Oryzias latipes: one gene and its partners. The protein of the gene in region 6 interacts with the protein of the main gene of each other region in a pairwise test. Links are inferred from orthologs where the notes say so. Each region holds a gene or a part of one and is shown on either strand. Other genes may lie near its edges. The genes, in order: tank, zbtb16, trip10, trafd1, med31, htt and wac.

Evidence for each region.
Region 1: the proteins of htt (region 6) and tank interact in binary tests that used the Homo sapiens proteins (3 or more experiments, as listed by UniProt). The link is inferred for Oryzias latipes from reciprocal best matches to the Homo sapiens genes HTT and TANK.
Region 2: the proteins of htt (region 6) and zbtb16 interact in binary tests that used the Homo sapiens proteins (3 or more experiments, as listed by UniProt). The link is inferred for Oryzias latipes from reciprocal best matches to the Homo sapiens genes HTT and ZBTB16.
Region 3: the proteins of htt (region 6) and trip10 interact in binary tests that used the Homo sapiens proteins (3 or more experiments, as listed by UniProt). The link is inferred for Oryzias latipes from reciprocal best matches to the Homo sapiens genes HTT and TRIP10.
Region 4: the proteins of htt (region 6) and trafd1 interact in binary tests that used the Homo sapiens proteins (3 or more experiments, as listed by UniProt). The link is inferred for Oryzias latipes from reciprocal best matches to the Homo sapiens genes HTT and TRAFD1.
Region 5: the proteins of htt (region 6) and med31 interact in binary tests that used the Homo sapiens proteins (3 or more experiments, as listed by UniProt). The link is inferred for Oryzias latipes from reciprocal best matches to the Homo sapiens genes HTT and MED31.
Region 7: the proteins of htt (region 6) and wac interact in binary tests that used the Homo sapiens proteins (3 or more experiments, as listed by UniProt). The link is inferred for Oryzias latipes from reciprocal best matches to the Homo sapiens genes HTT and WAC.

Annotation. Positions count from the first base shown.
Region 1 is NC_019879.2:20,997,517-21,001,621, reverse strand, and holds the start of tank (TRAF family member-associated NF-kappa-B activator), read right to left. Parts: upstream 2,801-4,105; 5' UTR 2,322-2,800; intron 1,948-2,321; 5' UTR 1,905-1,947; coding exon 1,806-1,904; intron 1,728-1,805; coding exon 1,619-1,727; intron 1,487-1,618; coding exon 1,416-1,486; intron 783-1,415; coding exon 724-782; intron 608-723; coding exon 489-607; intron 1-488.
Region 2 is NC_019872.2:25,466,726-25,470,823, forward strand, and holds the start of zbtb16 (zinc finger and BTB domain-containing protein 16), read right to left. Parts: upstream 2,801-4,098; 5' UTR 2,394-2,800; coding exon 1,156-2,393; intron 1-1,155. UniProt on the Homo sapiens protein: Acts as a transcriptional repressor. Transcriptional repression may be mediated through recruitment of histone deacetylases to target promoters. May play a role in myeloid maturation and in the development and/or maintenance of other differentiated tissues.
Region 3 is NC_019866.2:8,490,394-8,493,893, reverse strand, and holds part of trip10 (cdc42-interacting protein 4), read right to left. Parts: intron 2,349-3,500; coding exon 2,184-2,348; intron 1,938-2,183; coding exon 1,914-1,937; intron 103-1,913; coding exon 1-102. UniProt on the Homo sapiens protein: Required for translocation of GLUT4 to the plasma membrane in response to insulin signaling. Required to coordinate membrane tubulation with reorganization of the actin cytoskeleton during endocytosis.
Region 4 is NC_019867.2:12,247,697-12,251,932, reverse strand, and holds the start of trafd1 (TRAF-type zinc finger domain-containing protein 1), read right to left. Parts: upstream 2,801-4,236; 5' UTR 2,589-2,800; intron 2,099-2,588; 5' UTR 2,085-2,098; coding exon 2,041-2,084; intron 1,949-2,040; coding exon 1,813-1,948; intron 836-1,812; coding exon 782-835; intron 622-781; coding exon 183-621; intron 37-182; coding exon 1-36. UniProt on the Homo sapiens protein: Negative feedback regulator that controls excessive innate immune responses. Regulates both Toll-like receptor 4 (TLR4) and DDX58/RIG1-like helicases (RLH) pathways.
Region 5 is NC_019872.2:23,702,807-23,706,779, reverse strand, and holds the start of med31 (mediator of RNA polymerase II transcription subunit 31), read right to left. Parts: upstream 2,801-3,973; 5' UTR 2,618-2,800; coding exon 2,608-2,617; intron 993-2,607; coding exon 918-992; intron 1-917. UniProt on the Homo sapiens protein: Component of the Mediator complex, a coactivator involved in the regulated transcription of nearly all RNA polymerase II-dependent genes.
Region 6 is NC_019859.2:35,201,256-35,205,417, forward strand, and holds the start of htt (huntingtin), read right to left. Parts: upstream 2,801-4,162; 5' UTR 2,524-2,800; coding exon 2,426-2,523; intron 1,517-2,425; coding exon 1,433-1,516; intron 1-1,432.
Region 7 is NC_019878.2:7,916,008-7,918,559, forward strand, and holds the end of wac (WW domain-containing adapter protein with coiled-coil), read right to left. Parts: intron 2,296-2,552; coding exon 2,103-2,295; intron 2,027-2,102; coding exon 1,899-2,026; intron 1,813-1,898; coding exon 1,743-1,812; 3' UTR 501-1,742; downstream 1-500.

The DNA of each region.
Region 1 (4,105 bases), on a different chromosome or scaffold from region 6:
AAACATCATTATCATGTGGCACGTCCTAGCTGGTTGAGACATTCAATTATTCATACAAGGAAAACTGACCCTTCCATATAAATGGAATTTAAGCAGACCAGCAGGTAAATAGCTGAAGCAGAATTGTGGCCCAGAGATGGAGTTACAACCATCTCTGCATTTATTACTAAGGGAGGAAACAAAGTCAACTTAGAAATGTTGCAAGAAACAACTTTTAGGATCAACTTAAAAGCTAAAATGTGTGTTTTTTTGGATTCTTTAACAACGTCCTGTTGTGCATGAAAAATAAATCATTTATGACGCAGAATTAACATTTTTGTGCAAATATTACAGCTGTTTTTCCAAGTTATTTTATTTTTAAGGGTCAAATTTCATTGAAAAATCCTCATTTACTCTTCAGGTGGTAGTTTCTAAATGATCCTCAACCAAACGTCAAAAACCAATCTGTTTAGAATCAGGATGGGGGGGAAAAGAAGGACAAATGTTACCGTTTGACGCCTCGCTTCCTCCATGGAATCTTTTCAGGTGGTCTTTTTGCCTTCTGGTGAGAGACCGGATCTGTCGGAATTTGCCTTGAACGGCCTCAAATGCTTCGAGCATCTCCTGACTGGATGATAAGATCAGTGCAATAAACCAGTCATTATTAAGTGTCAATTGTTCAAATTGCATGTAAGTGATTGGTGAAAAATAGAGGGAAAAAGGTTTGCAGAAATTGGCACATACTAATCAACGCTGCCGCTGACTGGTAAATTAGGAGCAACAGCTACAGAGCCAATTTTCTCCTGGAAAAAAAGACACAGGCAACTGTAGTGGTCATTAACAGCAATTATCTGAGGTCGAACTGGTGATACATGTGCACTTTAACCATACATCATAAGCATGAAAGCTTTTCCTGTAGACTGCACAGAAAAAAGCAACAAAAAAAAGCTGATGCTGCAGAGCTGAAGGGTGAAATTATCCTCTAGCACCATCTGGTGAAGTAAAGCAGACACACTCTCTCTGGTTTACAAAAGTACAGCAGGTCACATCAAAGCCAATAAAAACAAATGACCTCAGCATGCTGGAGACTGGAAAACTCCAGATTATTTCCTTCTTTATGCTTTTTTTACTATCATAAACAGCTCGTGTGCTTCTGCCGCAATATCCGTGAGGTAATCGCTTGAAAAAAGTTACCTACAGTACGATCCCAGACAATACAAGAGCGATTAAAAAGTAATAATCACCGATGTATCATAACTCACAGAAACCACTGCAGTAACTGGACATTTCCCGTAACAATCTTTTGCATAGAATCAGGAAATTTAAGCAGAAGTACTTGACGCTTCTAAGTCAGAGAGAGGAAGCTTGTCATTTACTGGATGGACATCCTTCATTTCATGAGGAGGTGGAAAAAGATAATGCAACCCGAAACATACCGGGAACTGCACTGTTTTGTAAGTGCTGGCCCCTTCCAGGAGTTGGTTGCAAGGCTCACATTTCATCTCTCCTAAGGGTCAAATGGAGCAAGAAAATGGGGTGTTAGCTGGATGATATAGACCAAGTAGAAATTTTGGTTACTTGTGTCTTTAAGGGGGACTTGGGAAAAATAGACCCAAAGTTTACATGGAGAAGCACTAACCTGAGGGCTGCCTCATTGCTGAGAGTTTAGCTGTAAGTTCAGAGATCTGCCTCTGCTGGTCCTCTATCTTCTTTTGAAGTCCTTGAGTGTATCGCTCGTAATATTCTGACTGCAAACGCAATCAAATGTGTTATTCTTCTGGGAAAGAGTCAATTGAAGCAAATACAAGCGTATCGGTCGCTCCTACCATTTTCTGTAACTCCTTTTTAGCATTGTCCTTTTCGATGGAGACCTGGCGATAAGCTTCAAAAGCTTTGTTGAGCTGGTCCCCAATGTTCCTATCCATGCCGCGTGCCCCAGGATCATCACTGACACAGCAGACATGAGCCCTACGGGTAGCCCACAGGGGGGGAAAAGTCACAGTTTCTACCATAAAAAGAGCATTGAACCTCTTTAAATAAAACAATATCAAGAATACCAAAGCATTTCAGAATGCCTTTATCTGACACTAAAATATTAATAATTATTTAAAAAACAAAAAACTATAGCAAAATTATGGAATTTCTTGACTAGAGATCAATTTTGTAATAACATCTGTAATACACTTAAAAATGTAAGGAAGTGTGTCCCTTTTTAAACATCTAGGTCAACTGTTAAAATGCAGCAAAATGTTGACAAATCCTCAAAGGCGTAGTTTTTGTGAACAACACACAACTACAGAGTAACTAATAGTGTTCTTACAGAAAAGCAGCTCCACACTTACTGTTGCAACAGACGTTTTGAGCGGCTGCATTACAAAACTGAGGAGGATGAGGCAGTCTTCCTTATGAGCTCTTCATCAATTATTCAGGCGACGTCCATAATTGTGAGTCCCACTCATCTGCCAGGGACGCCTCACCACAGCAGCAGCAGCAGCACCCAAGTCCTCCCGAGGAAGAGGAGGTTCACTTCAAAGTGTCATGAAAAAGTTCTCCGGGTAGTAGTTCCGTGTTCTTCGAACTGACAGCTACACTGGGAATGGAGGCACCCCAAAAAACCAACAAGGCGAGTGAAAAACGGCCAGAACGAGCCTTCCTTTACCTTCATTCGAGTTGCTTTTTGAAGTTTGTTGTTTTGACACCACCGCAGCGGCGCCGCTTAACACTGAGATGCAAAGTTAGCGAGCGCTAGAGAGGATATGGCACACTGTGTTTTACATAGCCCTTTGGAGTTGGGAACTTCCCTCGGGGAATCCCCTGCTCTGTGGACTTCCGCCTTCACGCGGCTCCAGCCAATCAGCGGGCGTCTCGGAGAGGCGCAGGGTGGTTAGATGGTTGAGGGTTCTTCCAGCCTACGCGTCTGCAAACTGGCTGCATGTGAAAACTCTCCTCAAACTCGACTTCTCTTGTGCTCATTATTCTCCACAAACTTTTTTCTTATATAACCTCATAAACACTTTTTTTTTCCTTTTTTGCAAAACATTACATTATCTGTTTATTACAATCAGCACGTCCTTTATTGTTTCCTCCCTTAGCAAAACACTGAAGTTTATTTTATTAAGTATGCTTTAGTATAAGTATGGCAAGTATACTATAGACTATGCAGTGTAGGAAGTAAACTAACTGAATATTTCTGAAGAATACTAAATTGCAACATTCTAAGCTTACAATATATAGATATATATTGTGGAATATGCGTTTATGGACCTCTTTTTGCTAAGGGCTACCACAGAAAAAGTGTGTATCAATGTGAAGTGCATACAACTGTCAGCAAATTTATAAAATAAACAGACAAAGTGATTACATTTGTTTCTAAAGTGCAGTCTCTAGAACAAATAAAATCGAAAGGTTTAATGCACTTTTTTCTTATATAACCTCATAAACATTTTTAGTCGCAAAACATTATATTTTGTTTATTACAGTGAGCATGCCCTTTTTGTTTCACCCCTTAGCCAAAAGTGGTACACTTGAAGAGTATTTTGTTAAGTATACTTGTGTGTAAGTATAGCAAGTGAACTATAAACCATGTAGTATAGGAAGTGAAGTAACTCTCTGAATACTAAAGTTTACATTATATAAATAGTCTATAAAAAGTAAATTTCAAGTATTCTGCTTCACTACTTGTAGTACACTTACATAGATAACTATTTGCCAAGGGATAACACAGAAAAAGTGCATATAAATGTCTGCTAATCTAGAAATAAATTGTATAGAACTCTCTATCAGTTGAGGCGACCGTATTGCAGAGGTAGAGTGGTCAACCCTTGATCAAAAGATCGCAGGTTTGGTTCCCACCTTGCCCAACCATGTGTCAAAGTTTCCGAACCCCAGCTGCCATCAGCGTGGGAATGTGTATGGGACTGTGACTGTCGAAGCCCTATGGAGTTTAAAAGAAGGTAGTAGTGCGCCATATAAGTATATGCCATTTGTCATTTATTCCAATTGTAGCTAAAGTGGAGCCTCTATGACAAATATGCACATAAACACTAAAGTTTTAATGCACTTTTTTCCAGAAACAATGCCTTATAAACATGTTTTACTTAAAAATGGTTACAGATTGTAAGAAAAT
Region 2 (4,098 bases), on a different chromosome or scaffold from region 6:
TATTCATTAACTGGCTGTCTAATCTTCTGAGGATGCTGCAAATAAAGTTGTTTTAATGGTGTATTCACATTAATTATATTAATATATAATATATAATTATGGTATTTAGATAATACCAGTTTTTGTGACCGCTTTCCCTTTTTGTTTTTTAAATTCATTGCACCTTAAAAGTCAGACAAAGCTGAAGTTAGCTTCCATTCTTAGCTTCCACTTTGACAGTTATGGGTTAAAGGTAAATCTAAATCACATGTGGATGGTTCCTTCATAAAATCTAGTTTACAAACAAAGTTTAAAGCAGCTGCAGACATTTTACAGAGGGTAAAGATAAACTTTACCCACACAAATAAAATAAACGGATGGCCACTTTGGCCTTATACGTCCGTGAAAATATTGTCTGACAATAAAGCGGTCCGTAGTCTGAAAAAGTAAAAAAAGGTAGGAGACTACTGCTGCTCTGTGATCAATAGGAGGTTTTCTGAATGTGTTGTAAAATTACTCAGCCTTAAAGCTTTATTTATATGCAGCGACTGAAACAGTGCTGCGCAGCTGCCACTCTCCTGTCCTAGAACTACCTCCTTGTCTCGGGTTCAGCACTCATTTCCTGAGCTGACCGTCTACTCCAATTATCAAGCTAATAAGGGCCCCCCTTGTGCAGTTATGGGAAAAGGGAGGGGAGCAGGGTCCTGGATGAGGGAGCTCCACATTGGTAAGTGTGTGTGATAGCTGCCGCCCACATCTTGGAAGGTGTGACTAATGGTCTTGGACAATGTTAAGACAGCATTGCTTCAGCAGTCACCTGGGCAAGCTTGGCAGCTACTAAAGGAGTAAATCTCCGGTTCTGAGCTGGCGACTGCACAAAACTGGGCTTTATGTGACTGTAAATGGAACTCATGCAAGTGCAATAAAACAGAAACATAAAAGGATTGGGTCAATTGTTGTTAAAGTCGATCAAGTAGAACAAAAGAAAACCGCTTCACCCATTTTAAATAGTTTAAGCCTAAAAAGTGACAATATGTTTATAAAACCATTGAAATCGTCAATTATGTAAAAGTGTGTAATTTTAAAATCAAAATGCAGAAGATGCACCTATATGAGTTTTGAAATGGGATAAACTCAAAGACAAAGGAGACAGACTGGAGAGGGAAGGAAGCTTACCTGTGCTGCTCCACGGCTTCATTATCTGGTAGCTCTGCGCCGCAAACATTACAACGTTCATGCTGGTTCCTGCCGTCCGGTTTCATCCCCACTGCCAGCTCCCCGAGCTTGCTGAAGAACTCTCTCTGGATGAAGCTTTGCGGCAGCAGCCCCCCATACGCACTGAAGTCCATGGACATCGCCAGGGCAGGGGACATGGGGAGACCAGAAGCCATGGACACCGGCATGGACATCATGGCATCGGATTTATGATTGACAGGAAGCGAATATAGTGAGGCCAGGTGTTTCTCAGTCATTCCTGCCATTGCTTCCAGCCCCATCTGGCTGACTTCGGCTTGCTGGTCGCCCATGTTGTCATCACGGATATAATGCAGTTCTCGAGCGCTGGTGATCACGCTGCTCCTCGTTGGCGTTCCGGGACCATCTCGGTTCCTGTCCTCTCCGCTTCGCTCTCCGTTGCTCGAGACGCTGGACTCCATATTCTGAGGACTGTCATGTCCATTGCCACTCATGTCCACCTGCATCATCTCAGTCTTGATGTCGGTCATCAGGTGGTGGGAATTAATGTGGACGGGTTGCTCACCACCAAAGCCCTGCTGGAGCAGAGACTGGCCGATGCTCATCAGACTGTCCACAGCGGCTTTGGTGGGACTCAGGTTGGAAACACTGTAGGAGGTGGAGACAGAGGGACTCTGGTCAACCATGCCAGGCATGTTGGAGGCTTGCTGAGCTCCTGACAGGTTGGGAGTCTCCAGGGAATGCTTTTTGGAGTTCTTCGCTCCATTTTGGCCTTTGCGCTCCTCATCGTCTTCTGTGCTCCCATCATTAGCGTTGACATCCACATCATTCTCATCTGAGGACTGGATGGTTTCCAGGATCTTGAGGCATTGCTCCTCCAAGTATTCAATCTCCAGGATCTCGGCTGCATACAGAAGGTCATCCAAGTCCTCCACCTTGGCTTGAAGAGTGGCAGTGTAAGCATACTCCAAAATCTGCTGAAAAGTCTTTGGTGAAAGAAAGTCCAGGGTATAATGCTGGCTGCTGCGGTGGAAGAGGATCTCAAACATTTTGCTGGTGCAGGCAAGCACAGTCCGGTGAGCGTGAAACTCCTGGCTGTCGACCATGATGACCACATCGCACAGAGTCCCAGCCAAACGCATCTGGTTGGCCTTCTGCAGCAGGGCAGTGGGATGGTTGGGGTTCTGGAGCTGGATCATACCCATTTTAGTTAAATCCATGATATTGATGTAACCTGCCAGGCCGACTCATGAGGCTCGCTTTCCCCGCTCAGCAGAGATTTTAGCTGTTTTTGTAAACAAAGTCAAACCTGGATGGAAAAAAAAAGAGAAATGTCAACGGTGGAAACATTTTTTTATTTACAATTCCAAAAATGTATATTGTCCTTTATTTCAATATTCTGCTTGTTTTTATATATGTATAAAAAAATTGTGTGAAGCACTTTGTGTTGTGTTATATTTAAAAAGTGCTATATAAAAAAATGGTTTGATTTGATTTATGTTGTTGTCTAGGACAGTTTCTGCAAAGCGGCTGTATTTTATTAGAAATTCACCTCTTCATTAGAAATTTTGGCATGGAGCAACCCAACCCCCACTTCCTGTCACTCATCTGTGTCACAACATGCTCTCCCGCTAGCTTACTACCCCTCAAAACCCCAACCTACCATTACCTGAGCAACAAATACACTGATTAACATAGGAGCTACATGGCTGTACACTTTTGAGCCCGGTGCCAGCTCGGAGCTAGACGTACATCTAGTGGATGCATCTGCAAGTGGATGCATCAGAGTGGAGCGGAACAGGGAGCTTGTGGCTCGGCGTATTTTCTATATAACAAATACCGGTAAGCTCTTTTTCAAACTGCATTTATTGTCTGCTCCAGATTCACAACAATTTGGATAAATAAATACTAAGAAATGCAATTTTGAGCTTAATTTTCTTTATACATGTCCATCATCAGAAAAATATGACAAGAAAAACACAATTTTCATCAGAGTGCGTCTTTAAAGAGGAACATTTCTTCTAAAAAAGTGTTTAATATCAGACTTCTGCAGGCTTCAATTACAAACACATGAATGGGGAAGAATACTTAGTGGCGTTCTTATATTAGCAGACGGCACTGATTGGATTTTCTGAAGAGAGACAATTTGTTAGCTGTCCAACAGGCTCATCCTGCATACCAATAGGTCCAGCATATGTTATGTTAAAGAGATGTCTTCATTTGCTTATCTGATGGGGATATACACCAGTTAAACAAGGCTGAATTGTAGGCTCTCACTGCGTCTGGGTTCACAAAGACCGTCAGCAGCCTCAAATAGCATCTTACTCAGTATTCTCATCACAGACAGGAGCAGGAGAGCAGTGGCCAAAAAATGGGCGAAAAAGACAGCAAGATGAGGCAAAAACCCACAACACGGCCCCAGAGAGCGCCTGTGCTTGCAAATGTTGAAAATCCTGAATGAATGGGTGTCTGTGGGTACATTTTATAATTCAAGCTAACAGGGCAACATGTTGCTCCACCTCATTCCTGAAACCTGTTTGACCCATAATGAAAGCCTGGTTAAATTAAGATCCGGTCACCAGCATGCACCTAAGATGACCAACAAAACACAGATTTATTTCATTTATTTTATGGAAATAAAAAAAGAGGGCACAGAGTAGAAAGAGTTAAATCCATCCACTGACCCACATTCTGCCTGAGCCCATTGATGGCCTCATTTATCCAGTTCTATGACCAATTACAAGATTTGGCAGCTCATTTGGCTTTTTCCTCTTGATCTGCTCATTAATATGAAGAACATTCTCCCAAACTTCCACAGGAAAGTTTCATATTTATAATATTAATAATAATTCACGCCAAGACGCCTCATAGACCTCTTGAAATCTAATCTACAGGTTTGATTGAGAATTGAGGGGTCAATATGTG
Region 3 (3,500 bases), on a different chromosome or scaffold from region 6:
CACTTCCTTTTGCAACTCTTTGCAGATTTCTTCAAACTTCTGTTGTAACCTCTTCCTACGCTGCTCTGGAGGTAAGTGGCCAAAGTCTTCAGTCACTGTCGGCTGGAAGAGGTCACAGGAAGGGTGGGTTAACATGAACTCCGGCCTACATTCGACATTTTCCCAAGAAAAGGCCAAAAACCACACATTTGAGGAGAAGAAACACACCAAGTGGTTTCAGATCAACTCAAACTTTAAATTTAAAACTCAAGGTGTTACTGAGCTGAAGACAAAACAGCCACCCATGAATCATAAAGGTTGAATGTAAAGCCCAACCCACAACAGCAACACTAAGTCCCGTTATCTTTGGCAGAGTAAAAATAAAAATCTTAGTGCACAATCTCAACTCATTTTTGATGTCAGCAAGCATGGAGTTAAATCCCTTAATAATTATTTTATGGTTGTATTATGATATCCACACATGCATTATGTTTTTGTTGCAACCGCAAACTAAATGTATTCATTTGCAAAGAAAAAAGAAGAACAAATGCAGAATATTTTTGTGCTTTTTACATACTTGTCCTCTTGTAAAAAAAAAAAAAAAATTGTTTTTCACACTTCAAACATATAAATGAACCCTATAACCTCTGACTTTTGATATGAATCGAGCTAAACTAATCCACCAATCAGCACCTCTCTGCTGACCACAGCCAATCAGCACACCACCATATACTGGTTAATCAGATTTTAAAACATTTCACGAATTAATGAAAACAAATTTTTTCTTCTTTTTTTTTCTTGTAGTCAATTTTCTAAAGCTGAGACTTGGTCTATCTCTGTCACTGTGAACAGTGGAAGGGGGCAGATGACCTTGGAAGTGTGGCAAATGAGAACAGTAGAGTGGAAGGCCATTACAAATGAAAGTCAAAAATGTTTGTTAATAACATTAAAAAAGCAGTTATTTTAGTCGAGATGCCACTACTAATTCTTAAAGAAGCTTGTATTGGTGATTTAAATAATGATGATACTAATATTGACCCAGAAATTGAGGGGGCAAAGCTTTTTGCTAATGGGGGCAGAGGTCCCTAGCCCTCCTGTAGCTCCACCCCTGACTGTCAACTGTTTCATGTTACTCAATTTTCCTTCTGGAAAATTGTTATTGGGCGTGGAAAATTTCTCTATCTGCTTTAGTAGAACCAAAAAGTTGATTTTGAATAATTTAAATGGCTTTTATTTTTCCAAAACTAAATTATGTTTTCACAAATTTCTCTGCAGAGATCGGTAACCTTAAACTAAAGAATGAGCCATTTCAATTTCACTATGTTTTGTTTAATCTATTTTAATTCATACGTTTAACATTTTTCAATCTGTAGACAGGAGAAAAGTGCTGATTAGTGGATATTTTTAGATTAAATGTGTCAAAAGTCAGACGTTGAAACTTGCATTTGTATTTCTTTGCACGCACTCATAGAAAATACTTGTGTGTGGATGTGCCATTATGAAAACCTGACCAAATTTTACCAGACAAAATTTCTTCCATCTGTATGTCTTTTTCACACAGTCTCACAATATTTTTTGCATACACAAATCTTTTTTTATACAAGCATTTCCAAAGAAGAAAAATATCCTGCTCTGCTTAATGTAAATATGAACAAATGTTGCTTGCATATGCAAAAATTACTTGCTTGCAAGTGGAGGTCTCATTTTGCACGTGTTAAATAATTATGGAAAGAATAAAACTCCATGAACAAGTTTCAGTCCCCTCTTCCGCCACCAGATGGCCACCTTTTCATTACAGAACTGGACAGTTATTCTGAGGTACTAGGTCTTCAAAAAAAAAAGGGGGGGGGGGGGCTGTGTAAAGGAAAAGTGGCCATTTTTGTGTTTTGAACAAATGAAACCCCCACACCAGTTTTTTTTTCTGTCCACATTACCAAGGCCTTCTCTGGAGTCACTTTCTGAGGGGGAAAAAACAAACAAAACAGCACATGTATGGAACAATCTTACACCAGAAGTTGTGACCAGCCTATAATTATAGTTTTCTTTACTTTAATGCATATTTCTGCCATAAGCTCTACATGGTTTAAGACCAATTCGTGGAAAATGTCATCTAAAGAATTCAGTGATCCTTGCAGAGGCCAAATTGACACCCGAGCACAGGAGGCGAGGTCTCCGGGAACCCTGATCACCTCCTTGTCACTCACCGATCTCCTGAGTGTCCGGAATGAAGAGATTCTGGGTTTGACTGTCTTATTGATCTCCTTCAAACAGTACGACAGGGGGTCCCGGCCAAACTTGGGGGAAGTTGATCCATTAGAGGGTGAGGGGGTTGGTGGTGTGGAGAAAGGAGTGAGTGTGGAGGAAGAGAACTGAGCAAGACCAAAAGTACCAGCACCCGAGAGTAAGGTATGCAGGCATAGGTCAGAGGAGGAGGAGAGGGGCAGCAGAGAAATGGGGGGGGGGGGACAAAAAAAACAACAGGGTAACAAGGGGAAAGAAAAAGACACTGTCAACACCTCAGTGCACCACAGTGCCTGGGACAATACTGCAACAAACCCAGCACATGAGCCACAGCAGCATGAAAGAACAAACACACATCTCTGGCTCTTCTAAGCAACATGTTGAACAAAACAAGAAAAAAATTAGGCCAATCCAGACCAAGTCACCTAATTCTCCCTACACTTTTATTCCAAAAATACAATAACTACAGTTTCATGGCAACAAAATCTGTTTCAGGTAATTTTTGACTTGACGTATACTTTGAGATAAGTTAAGAAGGTCAACTATTTCTTTCTTTTTATGTCCTATTTTATTTTCAAGACTAAATATAAATCAGGCCATCATACTCTGCTTTCCATTACAAGAGCTTGCTTGTGTCTGATGGTGTAGCGCTCCCTGAATAGTTCATGTTTGTGTCACAAACTTGTGTTTCCTTCCTGCTGCCCAAAAGGCAACTGGAACGAGTTCCTACCAAACAACAATGCATACAAGGAAATTTCCCAGGAGGATGGAAAAAAAAGACCGAAATAATAAAAACATATGAAATCTCTGACATTTAAAAGAAAAAGAGAAAAAAAAGTGATAAATGCTGAACCTGTGTGCAGCAGGTTTTCGGCTGTCAGTCTAATATTTTGCATTGCCTCACTAAATTTGTAAGACTAATACACAGTATCAAATTTGCCTACCTGTGTTATTTACATTTATACTTATACACATTAATAAAAGGAAAAGGCTCCTTTAAGTATTTTTTACAAATCCAAGATATAAGTAATTCCTATATGGTTGGAAAACAGAGGTTGTTTGTGGTTTATATAAAGTTACAGGAATGTCTTTTATCAAGACCATTTTCAAATTTCATGCTCATACCTACATTTCACAGTAATTTTAAATATTTCCAAATGTAAACATTAGTATCATTTTAAATATGGTAACAAATATACATATATATTATATAATATATATGTTTAGCATTTAAATCTACATGTGTTACGTAATAAAACACATGAGCTACTTGTCAATTA
Region 4 (4,236 bases), on a different chromosome or scaffold from region 6:
CATTGTTGCTGCTTCCATGCAGGAAATCACTGTGACCTACAATTAACCGAAAATGTTATCCCATCCATTTTAGGAAATCAGATTTTACTAGTGCAAGAATGAGTTCAATATCTAAATTAAATGTTCTAGACATAATGTTGATGGCCTCATCTCACGACACATAAAGCAAACATTGCACTCACAGTGGCTAAACCCTGTGTTTTGAGGTGCAGCATTCTTCCAGTCTCTTGAAGCCTGCGTTTCTCTCGCTGTGTTGAACATTGAAGGATTAAATGCAGGAGGAAAGGACTGTTGAGCTGACGCACCAATGTTATTATTTTTCGGACTCCTTTCTTGGGGTCTGAGGAGGTTTCGAATGGAGTGAGCTTCAAACCATGCATCGGAAGACTCTCGCTCTGCTGCGGTGCGGCTCATCCTGCTGTTGTTCTTCTCTTGAGGTGGTGTGAGGCTTCCACATAAGGCTGGATGTACAACCTGTTCACGCAGCATCACATTGCACTTGCAGAGTGGACAAGGCTCAGTCCGTGTACCACAATAGTCCTCATGCTCCTTAGACTGAGAAAAAGCAAGCTCCAGATCACAGTACGGGCAGGACACCAGTCGCTGTGGGCATTCAGAATTCTGCAAGAAACAAATAACAGGAACATTTAAATAAAATAACAACATAGCTGAAAAATATTCTGTACTTTTACTCAAAACAGTCTTTTTAGACAAGAATTTGCATATTATTCATTGGTTATTCTTTGCATGGATAAAAAGGCATCTTTGTTCCTGACCATACCTGATGAACATCGACATGATTTTTCTCAACTTTCATTCCACATTTGCATGTAATCTGGAAAAAAAAGGAGTTTACATTGAAAACTTTAAAGAGTTTCACTTTGCAATAATTTCTCTAAGAGCAAACTTTAGTTGATATCATTGGTGGGTGCAGCGGAAAATATCTGTTTCAAAATTTAAGCTTAAAGTCCCGCTTCAATCATCTTTTGATCTATTTCAGAAGTGTTTTCAGTGGCCTTATAGTTATAAGCATGTAATTTTTAGCCAAAATCGAAAATTATTTATTTATTATTTTTTCTAGGACGTAGTTTCTGTAGTAGTGCATTCGAAATTTGCTTCTGAGTTGATGAAGGAATTCTGCGGCAGAACAAGTCAGCCCCCACTTCCGTATATAAGCCATCTGTTTAAAAGCTATTAGCCCTCACACATCCAACCTAACATTACTGGTGGAACAAAAATGGCCAGCAATATTGGAGCCATCCAGCTGTTTTGACCCAAATGCCAACCTTGGACGAGGAAAACAAAGACATACGTGGATCTGTGTGTCTACATGTGGATGCATCGGAATGGAGCAGAGCATGGAGCTGGTGGCTTGCTGCAGTAGGTCCTACATTACAACAAGCCTTTTTTTTTCTGCTCCTGATTCGCAAGGATTTGAATAAAGAAAAATACCCAGAAAGGCAGTTTTAAGCTTAATTTTATTTATATGTGTCATCCATCAAGAGAAAAATCCTACAGGAACGTGTTTAAAGTACGATTTTCATTTGAGTGCATCTTAAAGTTACAATTAGTGGATTTATGAGGATTTACCTGCAGCACAGTGGTAAGTTTACCTGAATGAAATGCATTGCCCCACCCTCCCTATTATTTTAGACTTTGGATGACACTCAATATTTTCAAAGTCCCATTAGAATCAGGGGGAAATGACCATCCCAATCGCGCTTCATCTGGAAGATCCTCCCCAAAATCACTGGATAAAGAGCCAATGGCCCCGCATCCGTGTACATGCTGGTGTTAAGTTCAGATATCTACCTCCGTGTGTTCTTGCAGCTTGTGCTCCTCGAGGTCGGATCGGGGTACGGGCTCCTGGCACACGTCACACAGTGCTATGTTTCTGCGACAGTGAATCTCGTGGGTGGTGAAATTGGCCTCTGGGATGTCACGTTTACTTAAAAACAAAAAACAACAACAATAGAAGGGGCTGCTAGCCACCAAGAAGAACTGCATTAGAAACTCGCGTCACAATAAATTCATACTTACCAGTTGCCACAATACATGATGGTGTTTTCGTCGTCTGCCATCATGACTTCAGAAAAACCTTTAACAAATAGCCATAAACATAAAACAGAAAGGGACATTCATCTTTGCTCCAACGAGCTGGACATTTTATCTTCTTCTGGGTTTTAACATTTATTTTAGTAGTGTAGCTGTAACCGTATAAGTTATAACATTTTGTTATTATATCATAGGGCTAGGCTAGGCTTAGGGTTTGTTTAAAGAGCGGCTATCGTTTTGGAAAAAATGAAACCAATCGAGAACCGTTTCACTTAGCCCTTCTTATGGTTTACAGGAAGACAGTAAATATTTTATTCCGAAGAACACCGAACACGAACCTTAACCAAAAATGGGGTTTGGACGACTTGAGTTAAATAGAAAATACAATGTTTTGTCTGTATTGGGCTAGCTAGCGTAGCATTATGATTACCTAACTAAATCCATCTACAGTTTACGAACATCTCGTCATACAGCTAATGTTACGATAGATTTTGTGTATAACGAAAATTCATAATAGTAGTTTCTTATTTTACCTTTTGTCAGTTGGATATTTTCACTTGATAAAGATGAAAACCAGTCTAAACTGTCATTTCCTCTTCCTTCGTCTGGCCTTCTCCCTCCTAATCTCCTCCCCGGGTAAAGGCTTACAGGCACAGACTTTTTCAGAATGTCTAAATACGGTTTACACGTATTCTCGCTCTCAATCACAGAGTAAACGAGTCATCGGTTTTATGAGTAACACAAAGCTGTAACCAAAATCTAAAGGTTTTTTTTTCCCGCAAGACACAAGTCAGGGCATAAATTAACACAAGGTGAATACTCAAAATTGATTGGTGATTTAAAGATCCTGCGTAATGCTTTATCCTACATCCAACATCGCAAGTATCTTCAATATGCTTTTTTTTTATTCGTGTTTTTCCGCTACAAATTAATTTTAAATGGTGCATTCTTGAGTCAAATTCTCAAAATTTACACTTTTATGGAGTTTACTATTATGTATTATATATAATGTTGATAGACATTGCATAGAACTACGAGAAAGAAAAACATGACATGAATTTTAAAAGACATGATTCCCCACTGTATTGTCTAATATGTTTTATTGAAATTTTGATTCACCAATAATGTCATGTCGGACAATTTATTGTAAGGCACAGTTCTGTTAAGATAAAACACTGATTATATGTACAGCAAATATTTGAATGTGTTGTAGAAATCCTACAAACTTCAACTCAAAGACAAGACAAATATTGTAAAAACAATGGAAATTTGCTTCCAAGCCCTTTTTCTTGCAAGATTTCAGAGGTAAAGTCACCACTTTACAATTTGATAATAAGATGTAACAGAACATTTAAAACATGCTGTAAAAAGAAATACAGAATAAAAGAAAACTGAGTAAATGACAAACCTTTTGAATATTCTGTAAAAAGAAAGAATACTTGAGATTTTAACTAGTGCCCTAAAAGAAGAAAACGATTTAAACATGTGCTCAAACTGTTAGTTTTGCCGTCCATGTTTAGGTTTAAAAAACACTTTCTCTAAAGAATGCATGATGAAGCCCACGTCTTAGTTCTTTGTGATGCATTTAATCCATTAGCAAAATAATTCTCTGATAAAAGTTTAGGTCCAACTTTTGCAGATCACACTCTGGAAAACATTCGGCAAGAGCATTAGCTGCACAGGGACAAACGTGTGTCTGTACACAATGAATCATCACCGTAGAAATCAAATAAAACGACATTACTGATCATTCTGTTTGCATGATTGTTTCTACCATATCGATCCCCTCTATATCTCCGTCAAAGAGGCATTATAAGCTGCTGATATGAACTAAAAAAAAATGGAAAAAAAAGACAAATGTAACTTTGTATGCTGTCTCATATTTTAGCATTTTTAGAAAATGTGCAAAACAATATTGTGAAGCTAAATCAAAACAGCTACTCCCTGCCTTATTTGTGGCCTTCTTGTTGTTGATGACTCGCTGCATCTCTTTATATTGAATTGTGAAGCGTGGAAATATTACAAGAACCATAAAAGTAGATTTATCTTGTAGGTTTATACACTAAACTCCTGTTCAGATTTCCGCCTACCTTCGTTTTTGTGCTCTTACAAGCTTACTACCTTTTTTGAAAGCCTTCCTGTTGCACTTCCTTGTACGTAAGGAGGACATTTGGTCATTCG
Region 5 (3,973 bases), on a different chromosome or scaffold from region 6:
GTAGCTTACAGTTAACAATAAAGTAAGAAAGGCTGAATTAATACTTTAAAAAAAAAAACAACTCCCAGGAAGGATCCGGGTCGTGTCTTTCACACCAAAGAGCCGACTTTAAGGTTGTTTCACTTGCTACTGACACATCAGTACACGAGTCTCTGCTCTGCTGCTCACCTGCTGCTCCTCAGGGATAACAAGACTCCTTGCAGGATCTCTTTTTGTCTTTTTCATCTTTGAGCCAGTTTGGAAAGCAAAGCGACTGCAGCAATGAGGGGATGTCTGTACTTTGACCGATCCCCCATGCTGCTATGTGCCAGTAATTCCGTCTTTTTTTATAATTAGTCTCTGTTTCATTTCAATTAACAGAGAAAAAGTCAAAGCCTGCAAAATCTAAGTAACAAAGTAACAAGGGTTTCTATAGTCCAGTAACTGTAATTCATTACAGAATATGAGCTGTAATTTGTTATGTTCTACCGTTACTGACAAAAGTAATTAAATTACAGTAATTTGTTACTTTGTAATCCATTACCCCAACACTGAGCAACATACAGAAGTGAGGATATTTATCAGTTTAAACAAACACATTTCTGTCTTTAATGAAGAAAGGTCAGGAAAAAAAAAAAAAAAAAACTAAATGAGTAAAATAGGTGAATCTGATCTTTAATGTGATACATAATATGGAAAAACATGAAAATTGGAGTAATATTTTTGGCTTTTCAGAGCTTTTTGTTCCTTCTTTTCATTGGGCAGTCATAAAAACAGGTTTTCATGGAATATTCGTGTTGAGGCCTTGCAGGGCTTCAGATTATTGAAGGATTTCAAGCCTCCAACCAAACGAACTTCCAGTTAAGGAATGTAGTTTCTGGCTTCACTTTTCAGGGAAGTTAAAGAACAAATGTTAAAGAAAAGATGAAGAGACTTACAGTTCAGGTAGTACGGATTTGCCAAACACTGCACAAACTCCAGCTCGGCCTGGAAGCGGTGCCGGGCCTGCTCATCTGGACCAGAAAAGACAGCATCACACAAAAGTAAAAAACACTGCGAATTCTGAAACAATAAGCAGTTTGGGCCTGACGACCTGCTGCAGTTATTATTATTATTATTTTTTTGCTGCTCTGATATTTCCATGATTCGTGTGTTATGCTAACACTGTAAATGAGTTTTATTTCCCCAAACACATTTCCTGTGTTAGACCAGTGGACTGGGTGATAAGTTAGAAACTATATAAGCGCGACGCAAGAACTGGTTTATTGTCAGACTACATTTTCACAAACGAGCCTCTGAGGTTCGGCTACTAAATACAACCAAACAAAAAGATGCGACCGACAAAAACGTCTGACTAAAGTAAATGTGAGTTCAACCAGTACACAATTTTACTAGCAGTGTCCTGAAAACCTTAGAGGGTCAGTCACCGCACAGTGAGTGCGGGAACAACTGTCACCAGAAATCTATGTTTTGAGTAGAACTCCTGGTTCCATGTTGGGGTGGAATCTCAGTCATTCAGGTCATGATAAAATGAAAAGTTCCAAAAGTATTCAACTGGACAAAGTTTCTGGTTTGAAGACGTTTCGCCTCTCACCCGAGCAGTTTCTTCAGTTCTGTCCAACTGGTGCTGAGCTAGAGATTTACATCCTCCTCGCTGGAGTCCTTTGATGGCCAACCAAACCCCCCAGTGACTGATTCGTTGACCCCTGTGTCCCGGTTGTGTCTATCTCTTCCTTTTCCTCACTGACGGTGCTTTCTGCCCAGAGAAACCTTTAAGAGGGCCTGACGCTTGTTTGTGTAATATTCAATAGAATGAGGGTTTTTATTTAGCGTTGTAGTAATGTGCGTTAGCAGCTGAAGGTGGGTAAAATGCCTGACTGAGGCAAACATCAAGCGTCACAGACAGATGTGGAGCAGTGGACGTCGTTTTTCAAAATAAAACCTTCATAAACACCTGATTAACAGAAAAAAGGAAGAGTGGTACCGATATGGAGCTGGAGACCACTGTCCCCGGTGAATCATTGAGTTAATGGGGTAGTTAAGGTAGTATGTCTGATAAAATCTCACATTTACAAAGTTATTCAAACCTGATAGAGCTTTATTAAACCCACGTGAACTAGTGTGTTGTCCTTATGTCGGTCTTTGGTTTATTTATTGGTTAAAGAGAGTTAGCAGTTTGCTAAAATTAGCCCAACGTTTTTGAAATTATGAATTATATGCAGTCTGAAGATCTTACTTATTCCTGCTCAAGCGACCTGTACTAGTATGTCGGGGTTTACTTTGGCTTCTTTATGAAAAATGTGTCAAGATGGACGAGCTTCATATTCTATCTTTTTAAACTTTCTCATAAATGTCATATTACTTATTTTACGGACTACAGCGAAAAAATCCCCGCGTTAATCGCCGACATTATTAATTTATTATTTACGAAAAATTTTCGGCTTGTTGTACGCACGAACTCAGGTTAATAAAAGCATCAACACAGCTTTAAGTCTTTTACAAAAGTTAGAAATACACAGTTTCTCAAATGTCAAATAAAAACACAAGAATAATGAAGACATTCATCATCCTCCCATATAGTTAGACTTAGAAGAACCAAAGCTAACAAAAATAGGTTTAGCTACAAACCTGTTTCCATGGTATCGACCCGAACAGTAACTATTTACTGTCCACAAACTGAGCAGGGCTTCCAGAAAGAGCAGAAAATCCTTATATGTGTTTAAATGTTTAACAAATCTTCAGTCCAGCTGCTTTTGTTTAGCTTTCATCAGCCGTAAGTGAACTACTCGGGCAAAACCACTTCCGACTTTGCGACACCTGCTATCTACTTTACGGCTTTTTTTCTTTTGCAACAAAACTTTGTTGTTCAGCACACGGACAACAAAAACTGAGACAGAAAATACCCAACACAAATAAAAAATACTTGTTAATCATACTTTTGGTTATATAGTGTTTGAAGTCTGAAGAAATAAACATTAAATGTCATCATGAAACAGAAATAATTTGAACAGTGAATAAAAAACGTCCATGTTTATTTGAGTCTTTGTTATTTATTGGAAAAACACAGAAATTAAATGATCAAAAAGCAGTAAACGGAAAATGTTTTGTTATTTTTCATCCAGTCTGATGTTAATGTTTTTCTCTGAACACTGAAAAATATGAGAATATGCAAAAACTTTAGGTAATCAAAATGTTTCACACTTGATTCATAGGATTTCTGATCTTGTAGTTCAGCATCTGGCCGTATGATTGCTGTATGAATGATTGTGGCGCTCCATGTATGTATGTATGATTGTGGCCCATGTGTGATTGTGGCGCTCCACAATCTTACTAGGCTGTGCTTTTCCTGCCAGCATCTTACACCCTGCAGTTATGTGCTGGATTGTTTCAGGCGCCTCTTTGCACAGCCTACACCTTGGGTCTTGTCTGGTGTGGTAGATCTGAGCCTCCATTGCTCTGGTGTTCAGGGTTTGTTCCTGGGCTGCCAGGATGAGTGCTTCAGTGCTGTCCTGTAGGCCAGCCCTTTCTAGCCATTGGTAGCACTTCTTGATATCAGCAGCTTCAGTTATGGTCCGGTTTGTCCTCCCATGAGGATTTGTCCTCTAGCACTGCATCCCTCTCCGTTGCCTGAGACATTCACTGAACACACTGTCAGTTGGGGCCTTGAGTTTGATGTATTTGTGTGCAGCAGGAAGAAAGAAATAAGAAAGTGCACTCGCTGTAGTTAAACACAGTGACGTATGCTTCAGAGGACGTTCAATTGGCTGTTCTGCATGTCAATCAAGTGACATCTTTCCTGCCGAGGATGATGATTCACTGACAGATTTTTAAAAAATATATTTTGATATTTATTTCTTATTTTTGATGACCTGCAATCTACAGTTCCATCCTTCGTGATCGACATAATGAGCACCCCTGACCTAAAGGATTTGAATGTGGACCATAAAATAACACTCTTTACATGTTTGAGTGATAAAGTTTTATTATCAACAAG
Region 6 (4,162 bases):
ATTCATATCTAGGGGGAATTGGACCTGAAATATCAGATATCACATCGGGCAACTATACATTAGGACGTAAACACTGTCCATGACGATAACCGCGGTGATGACTCATCACCTTGTTCTGTTTTTTTGTTGAAAGTTCTGCACATGGTGGGGATTTGTACTATAATAAAACACAAGCATCCTTGCTAATAATTTACTTTTTCTGTGAGTCCTGTGTTCAAACTTCAGGGCTTCTGGGGGAATTTCCATTGTATTTATTTCCATTACAAGCAGCGTGCGTTCTTTATAGCGCGATGCGGCCGCCCACCGGAGGATGTTGTGTCGGGGGGGGGGGGGGGGGGGGGTCGCAAGAGTCCCGACACCGCGACTCTTGGTGCTTCATCACTGCGGTGATCAAAAATCCCACACTGTCACAGCTCTACTCCAAACAGTGACGCGGCAGCAACATGGTAATAAGAGCACTAACAGGGCTGGTTTATAAAAACATACATAAGTCACTGAGAGAGAGAAAAAAAAGTCACTGAGAGCAGCAGTAACTTATAGGCGCGTTTCTGCACGGCACACGCCTCCTGTGCACTGAAACCATGCGCTGTCCTCTCTGTCACGCAGCAGAGCGGCTTTTCCAAACCCGTTGGTGATGGTGGATTTTTTTACACTACTTTTAACGATTGCTTTGACCTTGAAAGCTGCTCATATGGATTTCTTCTTGCGTTTTCCATGATGAGGGTCTGTTCGTGCTATTCATTCACAAAGCAGGAATTTACATTAAAATTGCGTCTTCCTGGACACATACAACGCGTTCTCCTGTCTCACTCTTACCCTTTCTGCTCGAGCGCCCCCTAGCGGTCATTAGAAAAAATGCATAAATTAGCCGCATAACTGAATAAGCCGCAGGGTTGAAAGTGGAAATTACGGGTACTTTTATTTTTCATTATTTAGTTACATGTGTAAGTTACATCTGGCCCTTTGAGGACAGCCACTATGCTGATGTGGCCCTCGGTGAAAATGAGTTTGACAGCCCTGGACTAGAGTATACTTGTTTCAGGTAAAGTGTGGCACACTGAAAAAATGATCTGGAGTCTTTGAAGAGGACTCGATCTTGACTCGGAGCAGATTAGCGTCCTTATGGGATGAGCATTAGGGAGGAGAGCTAGCAGAACCAAAAAGCAGGAAATACTGAGGAAATAAAACCCTGCAATGCTCCACTGTCAAAAGTAAAACAGCCATTAAAATTGCCTGTCCTTAGAAATCAAAGTTGAAAGTAAAAAATAAAGCACTTTTCTAAGAATTAACAAAAAGTCTTCAGTTATTTGTCCTTCTGAGGCCTAAACAGGACTAACAACACGAAATATTTGACTGAAATGTTTCAAAACTCCCTTGAACTTTACGTTGGTTTGAATTTTCACACACGTCAGACAGACATGTTCCTTCCTACCTCAGTGACTGGGCAATAATGTTTTCACATATTGTCAGGCAGTGGGTCACTCTGTCTTTTTTTGTCGTAGCTTGCTCCTTTTTCCTGGGAAGGAAACAGCAGATGAGGAGAATGCAGGTCAAAAGGGCAAAAGTCGGGTTTTCAACACAGAAAAGACTCCAACCGGAGCCGTCACTCAAACTCTGCCATCATTTAACGTTTTCTGACACTAAAATAAAAACCTCAGTGAATAATTTCATGGCCTGCAACTGACAGCGACCTACAACCTTCCAGCGATCTCTGCTCTACTTACGACTGACTACCTGGGATCAGGTGTGTTCAAAAGAAGAACCAAGAGCGGGGGCTGCTGGGAAAAATGCCCAGAAACTTGGACGGACGTTCCAACAGCTTTCAGCCCAAAGGTTAGCAAACAGTTCTGCCAACATCAAAGATGAAGGCCTTTCGGTGAGTTATGGTTCCTCTCCTCTTTAGGGTGGAGGGTTCTTAGACTCTAATAACCTCACTTTTCAGCTGGTCTGACCACAGTTTAGCGACTTGTCGCCTTTTCAGAGGAGCTGTGGCCCCCAGAAGACAGCAGCGTCCACAGAAGTTAGTTGCTTCGCATGGAGGCGCGTCTGTTTCAATGCAGATCTGAAACGAGTCACGCGTGTCCGATGTTTCTCAGCACACGGACGCCTCCAGATAGTCGGAGCTGACATGACCAAAAGGTAGAAACACACATGCAGCAGCTTCCCTGGATTCGTGGACGAGTTCTCATTCCTGACAGGTGAGTCCAGATCTGAGTCTGTCGGAACAGATCTGGACTCATGTGAGGCTGAGCAGCCGAGGGAAGCCTGCCTCTCTGCGTTTGAGCACCTAAAGCCGACCTTAAATCCGTGTCCAGGCGCCCTTTGCACTGAAGCACGACTACAGAGAGGATGTCAAATCCCGGTTTGCTGCCTGCTTGCAGCGGAGCTAAGCTAGGCTAAAGCCGTTAGCGGAGGGGCTACTCACTGTTTCTGGACAAGTTCCTCGGCCGTCGGCGGTCCCTGCTGTTGTTGGAACGACTTTAGACTCTCAAAGGCCTTCATAAGTTTCTCCATGGTAGCCATTTTCGTTATTTACAATGAGAGTGCTTTCTCCACAAGCTAATATTTACTATCTGCGCTATAAGCTAGCACAGCACTGACAGCCAGAGAATAATATGCAGCGTGACGAGCGGCTACCACACGCCCCCCGCGCCTCTTACTGCCAAAAGTCCCTCAATTTCTTCTAGTTTTGTCACAAAATGAAGTGAAAGCGGGTTTAAAATATGCCATCTTTTGATGCAACGACGTTTTCCTCCGACCAATCACACCAGGAAGTGGTATTTGCGAAAGCTTCGCTGAAACAGGAAGGGTGCAAAGTCAGCAACCAATCAATCTCGGAGTTGTTTTGATTGACAGGACCAACAGCCAATTGGCAGCTGCTTTAGTTTCCCCCCTCCTTTTCTGTGTTTTGCTGTTGCTGTCACGGGACCACTGACGTCACAGACTGCAACATCATTTTGTCATTGGTTTTAGGCACAATATTATCTGGTAAAATACAATTATAATAGTTTAAATTAGCTGAACCTAACAAGGAGCGATAAAAGAAAAAATCTCTGAACAGTGTACATTTAAATAGTCAGATAAGAAAACAATTATTTTGACTTGATTTCTTTATTTTTAAAGAATGTTACTTAATCAACCTAAAAAAATCAGCAAAAAGTTTTTTTCAATATAACAAGACCAGACCAATCCCTTTAAAATATCAAAACATGCTTGAAAATGAGTATTTGCAGTTCACTTTTTGACAAAGATTTAAAGAAAATTTTTATTTAGCTAGAAACACACATATATAAAACAAGAACATTGATAAAAGTCATCCAAGTTTTTCCATTATTATCTGTCATATCATCTTTATCATCATAACCAATAATAACAATTAAAACTACACTTTAGTATTGTCCATATTATCACCACTATAATGCTGTCATTATTATAATAATGTTCTGATTTTGTTTAATTAGTTTATTTATTTATTTTGTTTTTATTAAATTGTCTGATGCTTGGACATTGTTTTGTATCTAGTTTGCTCCAAATTTGTATTTCTGAAACTTTAATGCAACACATTTTAATGCTTTTGTTTTGGCTGAGGTTGTTTGTCAAACAGCTGAGCAAACAGCTGTGTTGTGTTTGACACATTACTGTTACAGCAGGGGGCTACGAATCGTTTGATACACAAGGTATATTTGAATAAACCCCTTTTGTGGTTTAGACAGAGGGATGTTGGGTGGTGTAGGTGTAGATGTAAATGTTAGTCTAAAAGGGGCGGGGCCTGTCCACACACACACACTCAAATGTCACAAACCTACCTGTTGGCTCGAAAAATCTTCACATACAGTGGGATGAAGGGTATTTGTACTAAAGGGTGCAGTTAAAATTGGCGGGTAGGGCACTGTGAGGACATGTCCTGCTTGCCCCTCCCTATCAGGGGATCCTACATGGTTGGTTGGTTGAGGGTTTCGGTGCCAACAATTAGGATTTTGTTTTATCTTTTTAAAAATCAGATAGCGTCATGGGCTGAGAACAGATATTGAGCATTATTTCAAGTTTATATTGAGTGAGGTACATAAGATCTTTTTATGTTTTTTACAGTTTTATCTATACATTAAGTATTTTTCTTTTGCCAGTGTGTTAAACGTGAGCATTAATTCACAAATATAGTCAT
Region 7 (2,552 bases), on a different chromosome or scaffold from region 6:
CCTCCATTCGTCACCACCAAATTGGTCATTGTGGTTTCACTGTAACCCTTGTGCTATCCTAGGCACTTTAACGTTGGGAGTTGGGTCATCTAGACCCACAAGACAGTGCGCCAAACCTTTTTTCTTCAATGATTTGTGAACTTCAATGGTGTCCATGGATTACATGAAATCTTTCCACCTTTATACACCTTTGACATGGTAGGGAGAACACGTCAATGTAAGGGTGGGGTCATCTAAGATAGCACAAGGGTTAAAGCGCACATTCCATGGCCATGTTTTAAACAAAGAACCCAAAAACGGCAGTAGAAACGTATGTAGCTATTCACGAACATGATAGTTTTGAACGCGGAAGCTCAAAATGCACGCTTACACAGACTTTTCATTGAAAGTGCGTTGCCGAGGACGCTGTGAACGTAGCTTCAGGCTTTAGTCATTTTCTCACAAACAAGAAAAAAACAAAATGAGCTGAAGCTCAAAGGAGCATTGAACACAACACTGCCTTGGAGAGGCATCCTTTATTTTTTGTCAATATATTTCAGGAAACATTATACAAAGCAATGACATGGTCAGCTCAACTAAATGTTGTGTTGGTGGGCATAAAGCAGCAGCTGACAGTGATGAATATGGGGGAGGAGCTAAAGGATATTGACTAAATCTGGGCCTTTTGATCCGGCGGGATGACAGCAAACATGGACCTGCGGGTGATGAGGCTTAAGACTTTCAACAAGGCACTAGCATATAAACCAAAGCAGACACTCCAACAAAACACTCAGCGCTCACTTTAGTTTAACATGTTTATTACATTACATACATTTCACATTTGAGCTTTGACCCCTGGTTGCCCTGCGTTCGACCGGAGAGGCGCCCCACCTCCACCCGCTTTTGAGCTCCTGACGGGTGATGCATGGCTTATTACTGCAACCCACACGTGAAAGCTGGCCTTCTCTAAAACCCCGCTGCTGTTAGCGACGGTACAAAGGAATGAAGACAGTCAGCGTGCAGAGCTGACGAACAAAAGGGAACAAAACGGAAAGAAAGGAGTTCAACTCCAAAGAGGTCTGCTGAGGGTGAAGGAATGGTCCAAAGCAGCACGCTCCTCGTTTGGAATCCATTGCACCACCAGGAACTGTCTTTTCGTCACCCGTCCTCCTCAAAGTGGGGCGCCAGAAACTGCTGACGGATCACTGAAGCGCTGTGAGCGTTTACAGAACACCTGCACGGAGGAGGCCTCCGCCCACACCCACAGGTGGGAGAGGATCTAAAAAGGTCAAACCGATGACCCCGGTGAGGCCAGCTCCTCCGTTCACGTTGGGCACGGCGCTTCAATGATCCGTGACGTGACAACGGAAGTCTGCAGATGAGTGACGGAGAGGCTGGCGCCTCGGCTGATTAGTCTGGATGTCAAAAGCTTTGATAGGCATGGCTTTCCATGGATTCAATCTACAAAACATATTTACAACATAGATAACATCTACAAGAAATCTACATGTTAATCCACCGTGGTTTTTTTTTTTTTTTTTTTACAAAAACACAGTCTTGTAAATCAGCCCCTCCCTGACCCCACCCACCACACCAGCAGCTCCTTGTCGCCCCCCTGTGGTCTGCCAGCAGGACTGCAGCTCCCGTGTGTTAAGACTGGGTTCGGGAGGAACCGTTTTTCTTGCCGGCTTCCTAGTATGTGCAATGACAACCCCGCTCCCCACAACCTCCGGACACCCCCCCAAACCCCCCACCAAAAGTTCTCACACCATGAAGGAATTCTGGTTCTTCAACTTTTCAAGTTCTTTGATTTGCTGTCTCAAAAACAATATCCTGTAAGGGAGGGGGCAGAAGAACAGAGAGCAGGAGTGAGATGGGGGGGTTTGGACGCAGCAACAGAAAGCGTGCGGACGACTCACCTCTGCTCGCGCAACGTCGCCTGAATTTCACAGACCCGGACGAGGGAGCGCAGGTTTTTGAGCTCAGTGCAGTTCTCCGACATGCATATGCTGCCCATGGTGTGAGCCTCCTCGCGGAGTCTGGACGCCTTTGGGGAGACGGAGGCAAACTTAAATGGGGCGGAGCCAAGAAGGAGGGAGGGGAGGTGTGCGGTGGACACTGACCTGCTTCTCCACGTGTTCTGCGGGCCAGCCCTGCACATGCTTGATGAGGCTCTCATTGAAATGGGCCGCAAGGGAGGGGGTGAAGGAACAGGAGGGCCGGGATGTAGAAGAGGCCGGGGGAGCGGAGGCGGAGTTGGGGGCGTTGCTGCTGGAGGCGACGTGGTTGGAACCTGGAGACGGACTCCTCTGACTGCTACATGGAGGGGAAAAAAACATGCAGTCATACAAGATGTTTCTGCAGAAGCTTTGAAACGGAGGAAAAAACCCACAACCCACAGTTCTGCCGTTTTATTTATATTCTGATTCTGAAGGAAGTTTTACTTTGGAAAACTACTGGATTCTCTCCACTACATCCAACTTATTCTTGATGCAAGTCCAATATCTGCAGCTGCTTTAAACTTTATTAGTACACTGGATTTTATGTGGGTTCCACTAAAATGAGACATGGAG